Sus scrofa: one gene and its partner. The protein of the gene in region 1 purifies or fractionates together with the protein of each later gene. This does not show direct contact. Links are inferred from orthologs where the notes say so. Each region holds a gene or a part of one and is shown on either strand. Other genes may lie near its edges.

Region 1 (4,168 bases):
TTTGGAAGACTTTGGTTGAAGTTTTCCAAATCTGTTAAATGTGAGAGGGGCAGAGCAAATAATTAATGAATTTCCTTTTCTCACCTGCTCTGTAAGAATTTTCAAAAGGGCACAGGAGCCAATCTGAAAGATTTCCCCATCGTCAAATGTGGAAAAATTTGAGCAGCAAATTAAGTAATGTACTGTTGAATTACAGCTCAAAATATACAAGAAATATATATATAAATCCATACTGATTGAATAGATAGGGATATGGGAGAGAAGGAACACATCTCTACAGAATAATTCCAAATAATGTAGATACGCCTCCCCCCAGGAGATGGACTTTCCTTCTCCCCACCCTCTCTTGAAATATGGGCTAAACTTAGTCATCCAAAGATGGAAAGAGAAAAATAGTAGCTCTGCCTTGGAAAAACCAGGGAGACACTACTTTAACCAAGTAACAAGGATTGCTGTCATGCAGCACCTAGTAGGATGTGGTCTTCCTCCCCCAAACCCCAAACCACAGCCTTATCATGGGAAAACATCAGACAAGACCAAATGAGGTTGGTTTGGTGTACACACGCTACTAAATATGAAATAGGTAAGTAACAAGGATCTACTGTAGAGCACAGGGGAATCTACTCAATGTCCTGTGGTGGCCTATTTGGGAAAGGAATCTGAAAAAGGATGGATACAGGTATAGGTATAACTGATTCACTTTGCTGTACACCTGAAACTAACACAACACTGTAAGTCAACTATACTCCAGGAAATTAAAAAATAAAAAAATAAATAAATGATAGATATCCACAAAATAGCTTAGCCGAAGTTTTCAAAACTGACTGAGTTAAGGAAAACAAGAAAAGACTAAGAAACTGTCATAGACAAGAAGAGACTAAAAAGACCTAACACTAAGTGCAGTGTGGAAACCTGAATGAGATCCTGGAACAGAATGGTATTAGGGGGAAAACCAGTGAAATCTAAAAAAAAGTCGAGTTTATTTAATAGAAAGGGATCAGTGTTACCTTCTTAGTTTTGACCAGCCTACTATGGCGATGTAATACATGAATATTAGGGGACGTCGGCAGGGGGGTTTTGGAGAATTCTATACTCTCTCTGCAACTTTTTTTGTAAATCTAAAATTACTCCGAAATAAAAAAGGCTTATTTATAAGCAACAAAAACAAAAGTTTATTGTTTGTGCAAAGAGAACATTTTAATAAAGCAGCGACTACCCTCTTTACATGACTCAGTTACTGAGAGGTACGCAGTGTTGAGGGATGCAGGGAAGGCACCCCGGAGCGCCTGGGGCCCGGCGTGTGCTTCCGGGGGCGGCAGGAGCCTAGGCTCCTCCCCGGAGCCACCAGGGCGCCGGACTCTGCCCCGGGCGCTCCCTGAGGGGTGGAGCCAGCCAGCCCCACGGAGAAGACTCAGCCCAGGTCCAGAGCCGAGGGGAGGAGCAGCGGCAGAATCCTGCTCTGGCTGAGCGCCCTCCAAGGTAGACGAGCCCCTGCGATCCGCGCACAGGTCACCCCCAGGTGAGTGAATGTCCAGGTGCCCTTGGAGCCGGTTCCCCCAGCGCCGCCCTCACACCAAAGACATTTTCCTGTAAACAGATCCTCGGTTAGGAGGATATTCTCCCTGTAAACCTCTCTTCTGGACTTGAATTCCTTGGGCGAAAAGTTTGTGCTCTTCCAGGAACGGAGCTTACCTTCCTCGAGAGAGAATGCCCCACCCTTAGCCCTGTGCACACCTGATTATTTATTTCGATTGCTGTTATGCCGTCCCTCGGCCAGGGGTTCTCGCGATTCAGAGGCGGTGGAGAAAACATGCTGTCACCTGTGAACCCCCGCGCGGCGACTTTGACAGATCACCGCGCCTGAAATTTTTAAGAGCACAAACGAATGCTTGTGAGTGAAGATGGTTGTCTTACACCTTCATTCATCCGTGCTGGCATCTGTAGCTGCAGGTGTAGCTAAAGGAGAACAGCCTATTGGTTGACAGTGCTATCTATGGTCATGGGATTTTAGAACTGAAAGTTACTCAGCCCCAGGCAGTTGTGCAGAGGAGCAGTGTCAACTTACGGAAAGAATAGCACAGGACGGTGCAAGGGTAGATTTTAGATTGGATGATGACATGGCTGTACATTTTCAACCTTCTTTGAAAGGAAAAAAATTACGTACATAATCAAATATTATTATTTACATATATAAATTATATATGATCATATATATATGCACAGAAGATGCAGTTAGCCCCATACATAAATGAAGCATAACTCAAGCATACATAACTATTTATACTATAGTTGTTTCATTTCAGGAATCAAAACCTTTGTTACTTCCTTTTATATACAGTCTAGATGAAGTGTCCAAAAGGGAATTATTCTGCATTTGCAATAGGGAAAACATAATCTGTCCTTTTGATTTTACCTGTGCTATTAAATATTCAGTTCTGCACAAGTCTGGCTTTTCAGAAATACGATCTGAGCTTTAGTCTCAGATATCCTAGCGGACACAAATGGTGCTGCTGTTTCCTGGGCTGCACTGCCCCTCCCCCTAGCCCTCCCTCTATGCCACTGATTTGAGAGTGGTGGTCCCTGACACAGAGGAATTTGTGCCTAAGGCAGGGCCTTCTCAATTACTTACAGAAAGAATGAAAATGGCTGACACTTCCTGCGACCCAGGAAAACTTAAAGGTTTTTACCTTTGTGATTTGCTGAATATGGTAACTAAAGCTGCACTAACTAAAAAGAGACTCCTGAAATATATACAGATACTATTTCAGTTGTATAATTCATTGTTGTGATTTCATGAATTAATAACAGGGATGCATGTATTTGTTAGCTTTTTGATTTATAATGTGCTGGACAGTGGGCTTGAGCTATAATCTAAAGCCCTGACAAAGCTGAAAAACATAAGCTAGATTTGGCCAAAACTAAAAAATGAGGTGTACATTTATTTGTTTGGAATTATGACTGAAAAAGGAAACAACTGAAGAATTTGGAAGGGACTGTAAAAGTCTTTTGAAGTAGTAGCTTTGAGTCTTTGAAGTGAGATATTTACATCAAAATTAGATGGCCATTTGTTGATAGAAAAAAAAATATAATGGCAAAATGTTACTCTGAATGTAATAGCCTGTTTAAGTGTATTTACATTTTACTGAGCATGGAAACAGCCATCCACTGAGTCTGGAAAACAAAAGCAAGCACGTGCCCGCGTGTGTGTGTGTGTGTGTGTGTGTGTGTGTGTGTGTGTGTGAGAGAGAGAGAGAGAGAGAGAGAATTTAGGGGCCTATTCATATACTCATTGAACCAATACTTGTTGAGTGCCTGCTGTGCAGGGCACCCTGTTCTGTCTTGGGGACACAGAGGGATACAGCTTTGTGCAAATAAGACACATTCTTGTCCCTGTGGAATTTACACCAGTTTGAAATCCTTCAGGGCAACCCTGAGGCCATAGATTAGGGACCACACCTAATCATCCATCTATTTTTAACAGTGACTGATTAGTTTCAAATCACTGACTCTTTTACACTGACTTAAATAGATTTTAAAAGGAATTTGCGTCTTAGGTCAGTTTCCTCTTTTGCTTAGGCTGGGGAAGAATTTAGGAATATTGTAGTCTGTTAATGCTATGCAGTATTTTGATATTAAACTTGAAATAGTTTAATATCAATTTCATGGGAATTAAATAAAAACTAAACTTGGAGTAGTAGATGCCAGTAATTTAGGGGGAAAAAAAATCAATGAGTGAAAAATTTCAAATTGAGAAAACTGTATCCAAGTTTTTTTTTTTCCTGTAAGTTAAAAAATATGACTACAGTCATATTTTACCTCAGAGCAGAAGAATGACTTTATGCAAGGCATTTTTCCCTTTTTTTATTCTTTTGCTGTTTTCTCAAAAGCAGGTTTATTGGAAGTATAATATACATACCAGAAAATCCAGGTGTCCAATTCAATGATTTTTAGTAACATTTATGGAATTGGGCAACCATCATCACAGTACAATTCTAGAACATTTTCATCCCCCCTTAACCACCCATCTTAAGGGGCTGTTTGCAGTCACTCCCCATCCTCAGACCCAGCCCCAGGCAACCACCAGTCTACTTTCTGACTCTTTAGATTTGCCTTTCCTGTACACTTTATACAATGCAATCATACAGAAGAGTGTTTAGCATCTAGCTTC
Region 2 (4,231 bases), on another chromosome or scaffold:
ATCACTTAAGCACAGAGTTTTTTAAAAGTGTTTTGATATTTACATTAACAGGCATAATGTATGATAATTTTACAATATAAATTTCACTTCTAACACTAAATTGGAAAATATGCAGATGGTTATTTATTTCCATACAAAGTCATTTTAGAACATCATGAAATTTAACAGTAAGACAAATTTCAAGTTTAATATAATTCCACATGGTGAATTTAATTACAGATTACTTTTTAAGTAAGTTGAAATGTAAGCGATATACTAATTCTTTTGTTTTGCTTTGGCTCACTCGCAGCACATGGAAGATCCCAGGCCAGGGATCAAAATTTCACCTCAGGAGAGAACCTGAACCATAGCAGTGACAAGGCCAGATCCTTAACCCACTGGGCCATAAGAGAAGTCCATGATATACTAATTTTTTTAAAAAGTCTATTAAAGTGCAATGTAGAATTAAAGGATTAAAAAGTATAAGACAACAAATAAGCAATTTATGGCAAACTCAATTTCAACAAAAAAGCATACATTTAATTAAAAGTTCAACTTGAGTGTTCTCCTTAAAAAGTAAATTAAGCTGAAAATAATAAAATTCATTAACTGAAGAAAAACAAACCTCATAGGTTCTTGTTATGTGGCAATTTGATTTTTAAGAGTTTATATATAGTTGATCATACTATAAAATACAATATAAGACAACAGTACTAAAATACGGTTACTAATAAGAAGTAGGGGGAAAATTCCAACAGCTTTTGTTTTTAAGAAAAGCCCACTTAGGGTATCTTTTTCTATATCCTTAAGTTAATACATAAAACTATAGTTCTACATCATTAGTATTATTATCTTTACTTCAAAAGAAAAAGACTAGACTGCTACAACGGAGCTGTCAATGAACCTGACTGTCACAGACAACTCAAAGAGTCTGTAGAGAAGCTTTCCCTAAAAGCTGGGGGACTAGGGGAGACAGCTGGGAGCTCACATTGCAGAGACGTTGGTTTTATTTGACTCTGGCTTTCATGAGTATTTTGGCTGGACACACAAGTCAGTTCACTTTCCAAGTTTTACGTCTTCCTCTTGTCTCTGTTAAGTGCTTTTAGACTCTTCAGCTTTAAAACACCAAAATTCTACAAGATCTACAAAGTTAAGAAAAAGTAAAAGCAGCACTGGTTTTACTTTTTAAAAAATAATGGCAGAAAAATACAAAATGGTTTGTAACTTGCAATGTAATAGTTCCAGAACTGAATTCCTAAACCGTTGCAGCCTACCCAGCCAGGGTTATATCAGTGCAGACCTGGATACTGTATTTATAATATAACTGTCTCCTCTCAAATCAGTCCTCCACCTGCTCCTCCCCATTCTCCTTCAATCTCTCTTCTGTTTGTTTTAACCCCAGCAAATGGTTGTATGCATTGTAAGCTTAATAATCAAATCATTTTAAGAGATGCGTTTTCAATCAAGTGTATCACCTACTTTACCACATTTCTCCCAAGTGGGTGAATTTTCATTAAGAGAATAAAAATATCAGTTCAAAAAGTCAGAAAAAGAAATGTACCAGGCCTATTTTTTGTTTTGCATGCTTAAAAAACAAAACGGAAAGATGTTTCCTAACCTCCTCCCTTAGGAACACGAATGCGTTACCCACCCAATAAAAAAACAATTCCGCCGGTTCATTTTCCTGCTACACAACAGCTTCGTCGTCAAGGCCCTTCCTAGTCCATTCTTCATCGTCATCTAGTAATTTTATATTGATCACCTTGGCAAGGCTTGGACAGGCACTGTCCTTGTCTTCCAGAAGCTTTACATTCTCCAAATAAATAAAAACTCTGCTACACACTAAAAAACAAAGATTCTATGACTCGGGATACAAATCCCACATCTTCCCGCCCTGTGTTAGGCAGCTGCTAATTTTTCCTTCCCTTGCATAAAATGAAGGGACACATACCAAAGACCACATTTGAATCTCAGGACAATGAAGTCGACAGGAAGCCACTTTCTCCTCCCCCGGTTTACTACCAAGCTACAGCCTGCGCGGGTGCAGTCGCCTGGCGGGGTGCGTGACACCACGTCTTCTACGCCCTCCCACCGCGTCCAAAAGGCTCCTCGCCGGACCCCCCAAATCACCCCACACCCCCAAAACAACCACACAATAAGGATCGACACCGAGCTGCTCGGACCGGGAAATATCCCTTCACCAGCGGCAGCGCAGCCATTCCCTCCACTGCTCCGCCCGCACCCCTGCACACTGCTTGGGCGGAGCGGCTGCACAAAGCCGGGAGAGCCCAGACGACTCAATACGTGGACACAAGCGGGGAAGCCGGGCCGCAGGACTGGGGGACGCGGGGGGGGAGGGGAGGGGCGGCCCCGCCGGGTCCCGGGTCCGGGGCGGGGGCAGCGCGCGGAGCCTACGGGAAGCGCCCCTCGCCGCCCAGCCCGCACCCCGCCCGCCGCGGGCCGCGCCCGAGCCCCGGCTGCAAACCGGAGGAGCAGGATGTGGGAAGACGGCGGCGACGGCATCAGAGTGCATCACTTACCCCTCACTGCTGAGAGGCACCGGACCGGGGGGCGGGGCGCGCCGCGTCCCGTGAGTCTCTCGCCAGCTTCCTCCCCCACCCCGTCGTCGTCGTCTTCGTCGTCGCCGCCGCCGCCGCGATCGAGCTCCTGGCCCCTCCGCGCCGCTGGGCAATAACGTTATTCCACACACGCTCCGCACATAGCGGTAACGGCAAGGAGCGGCCGCCCAGTGCGCAGGCGCCAGGGGAGAGGGCGAAGAGCCCGGCCCTACCCCTGCTCCGGCCCAGTCCCGGCGAACTTCTACTGCGCAGGCGCCAAGCACAGACAATGAAAAGGGGTTGTGTGGGGGGTCTCACCCACAGGCCTCGCCAGCTGCCGACTGCGCAGGCGTACACCAAAGACCTGCTTCAACAATGAGGAGGACTGGGCTTTAGCTGGGACCGCAACCCGTAAGGACTACATTTCCCAGCGGGCAGTGCGTCAACTCCTCCAAACTGAGGTCGGGTGGCCAGCTGGGTGTGCTAAAATTTGTAGCGTCAGCCGCTTTCACAATTTAGGCTGTTTGGGAGATTCAGAGCTTCTTTTTCCTGAGAATTTATTTGGCGGTGTTGGCAAAAGTTGTGGCTGAAGAGTGTAGAATTTATTTGCGTTCTTGAGACGCCTCAAGGGTCAACTGCATTCTAGCGAACTTAAAAGAATCAAGGCGTTCAGTGAGTGCTTTCTGTCAGATGGTCCAAACACACGATGGGATGGAGGCAGGACCAAGACAGGCAGCGCTACAGAAATGGGCGGAGCCTCCAAACGGTCTCTTGGCGACCAGATCTGGCAGCCAAACTGCTGAAGCGTGAGCTTGGAGCGCGTTGCCCTCTGGGAATTGTAGTTTGTTTGGGAGGGCGCCTGGGAACTTGAGACAGTAATCCCGGAACACGAGGACTACAATTTCCGAGGTCCACCACAAGGGCCCGTGGGTGGGAAGAGGCCCGGCTGGCTGCGTCTGGGATTCCGCGCTCCGGGTTGACAGCCGCGGCAGGAAGCGGGTGGGCGCCTGTGGGGCGCTGGGGCCTCTTATTCTCGGAGAGGAGAACCCTGGACACTACCCCACGCAACTCCCGTCTCTGAGCTCCGAGTGTGTGCATGGCGAAATCTTCGGAGAACTCTACCCTGGAGGAGATTCTGGGGCAGTATCAACGGAGTCTCCGGGGTGAGTTGCTCCGAACCTTTGCCCTAACCCCTTAATACCAGGGTCTCGTGGACGGGAGCTGACCAGGTGCATTTCCTAACGGCTTGGTTCGGCCCAAGCCAGAGTGCAGAGGAAGAAGCTGGATGTTGCTGTGATCTTTGAGGGAAGGCTAAATAGTTATTACGGTTAAGCAGCATCGCTTCCCTTGATTCCCATAGTTCCCATAGTTACCTGAACCAACTCCCTGATCTTGTCTTGGGCATCTTTTTCACCCGACGCCCGCAAAATCTCTAGGACGCTTCTATGAGTGTCGCCCACTTCCCCTACATCTCTCTTTTTAATCCAGTACATTTCTGATGCGCTCTTTTTACACATTCGAATTATAGTATGCTGGGTTGGATGTGATTTATTGGACAAGGAAAAAACACACTAATAATTATTTTAGTCACAACAGCTTCTATTTAGCGGCCCAGGCTATTTACACACATTAAATCACTTAAAACTTAACAACAGTCTTATGAGTGACCCTCTTCTACACCTGGGGACCTGGTG

What was found. Proteins that work in one complex are often made in the same cells at the same time.
Region 2: the proteins of CCDC68 (region 1) and CEP170 purify together in Homo sapiens (co-immunoprecipitation; 3 studies listed by BioGRID and IntAct, counting the BioPlex papers as one, with this or other methods). This does not show direct contact. The link is inferred for Sus scrofa from reciprocal best matches to the Homo sapiens genes CCDC68 and CEP170.

Annotation. Positions count from the first base shown.
Region 1 is NC_010443.5:104,471,782-104,475,949, reverse strand, and holds the start of CCDC68 (coiled-coil domain-containing protein 68), read left to right. Parts: upstream 1-1,368; 5' UTR 1,369-1,519; intron 1,520-4,168. UniProt on the Homo sapiens protein: Centriolar protein required for centriole subdistal appendage assembly and microtubule anchoring in interphase cells. Together with CCDC120, cooperate with subdistal appendage components ODF2, NIN and CEP170 for hierarchical subdistal appendage assembly.
Region 2 is NC_010452.4:16,188,348-16,192,578, forward strand, and holds the start of CEP170 (centrosomal protein of 170 kDa), read right to left. Parts: upstream 2,801-4,231; 5' UTR 2,520-2,800; intron 1-2,519. Other genes in the region: SDCCAG8 (serologically defined colon cancer antigen 8), read left to right, coding at 3,634-3,700.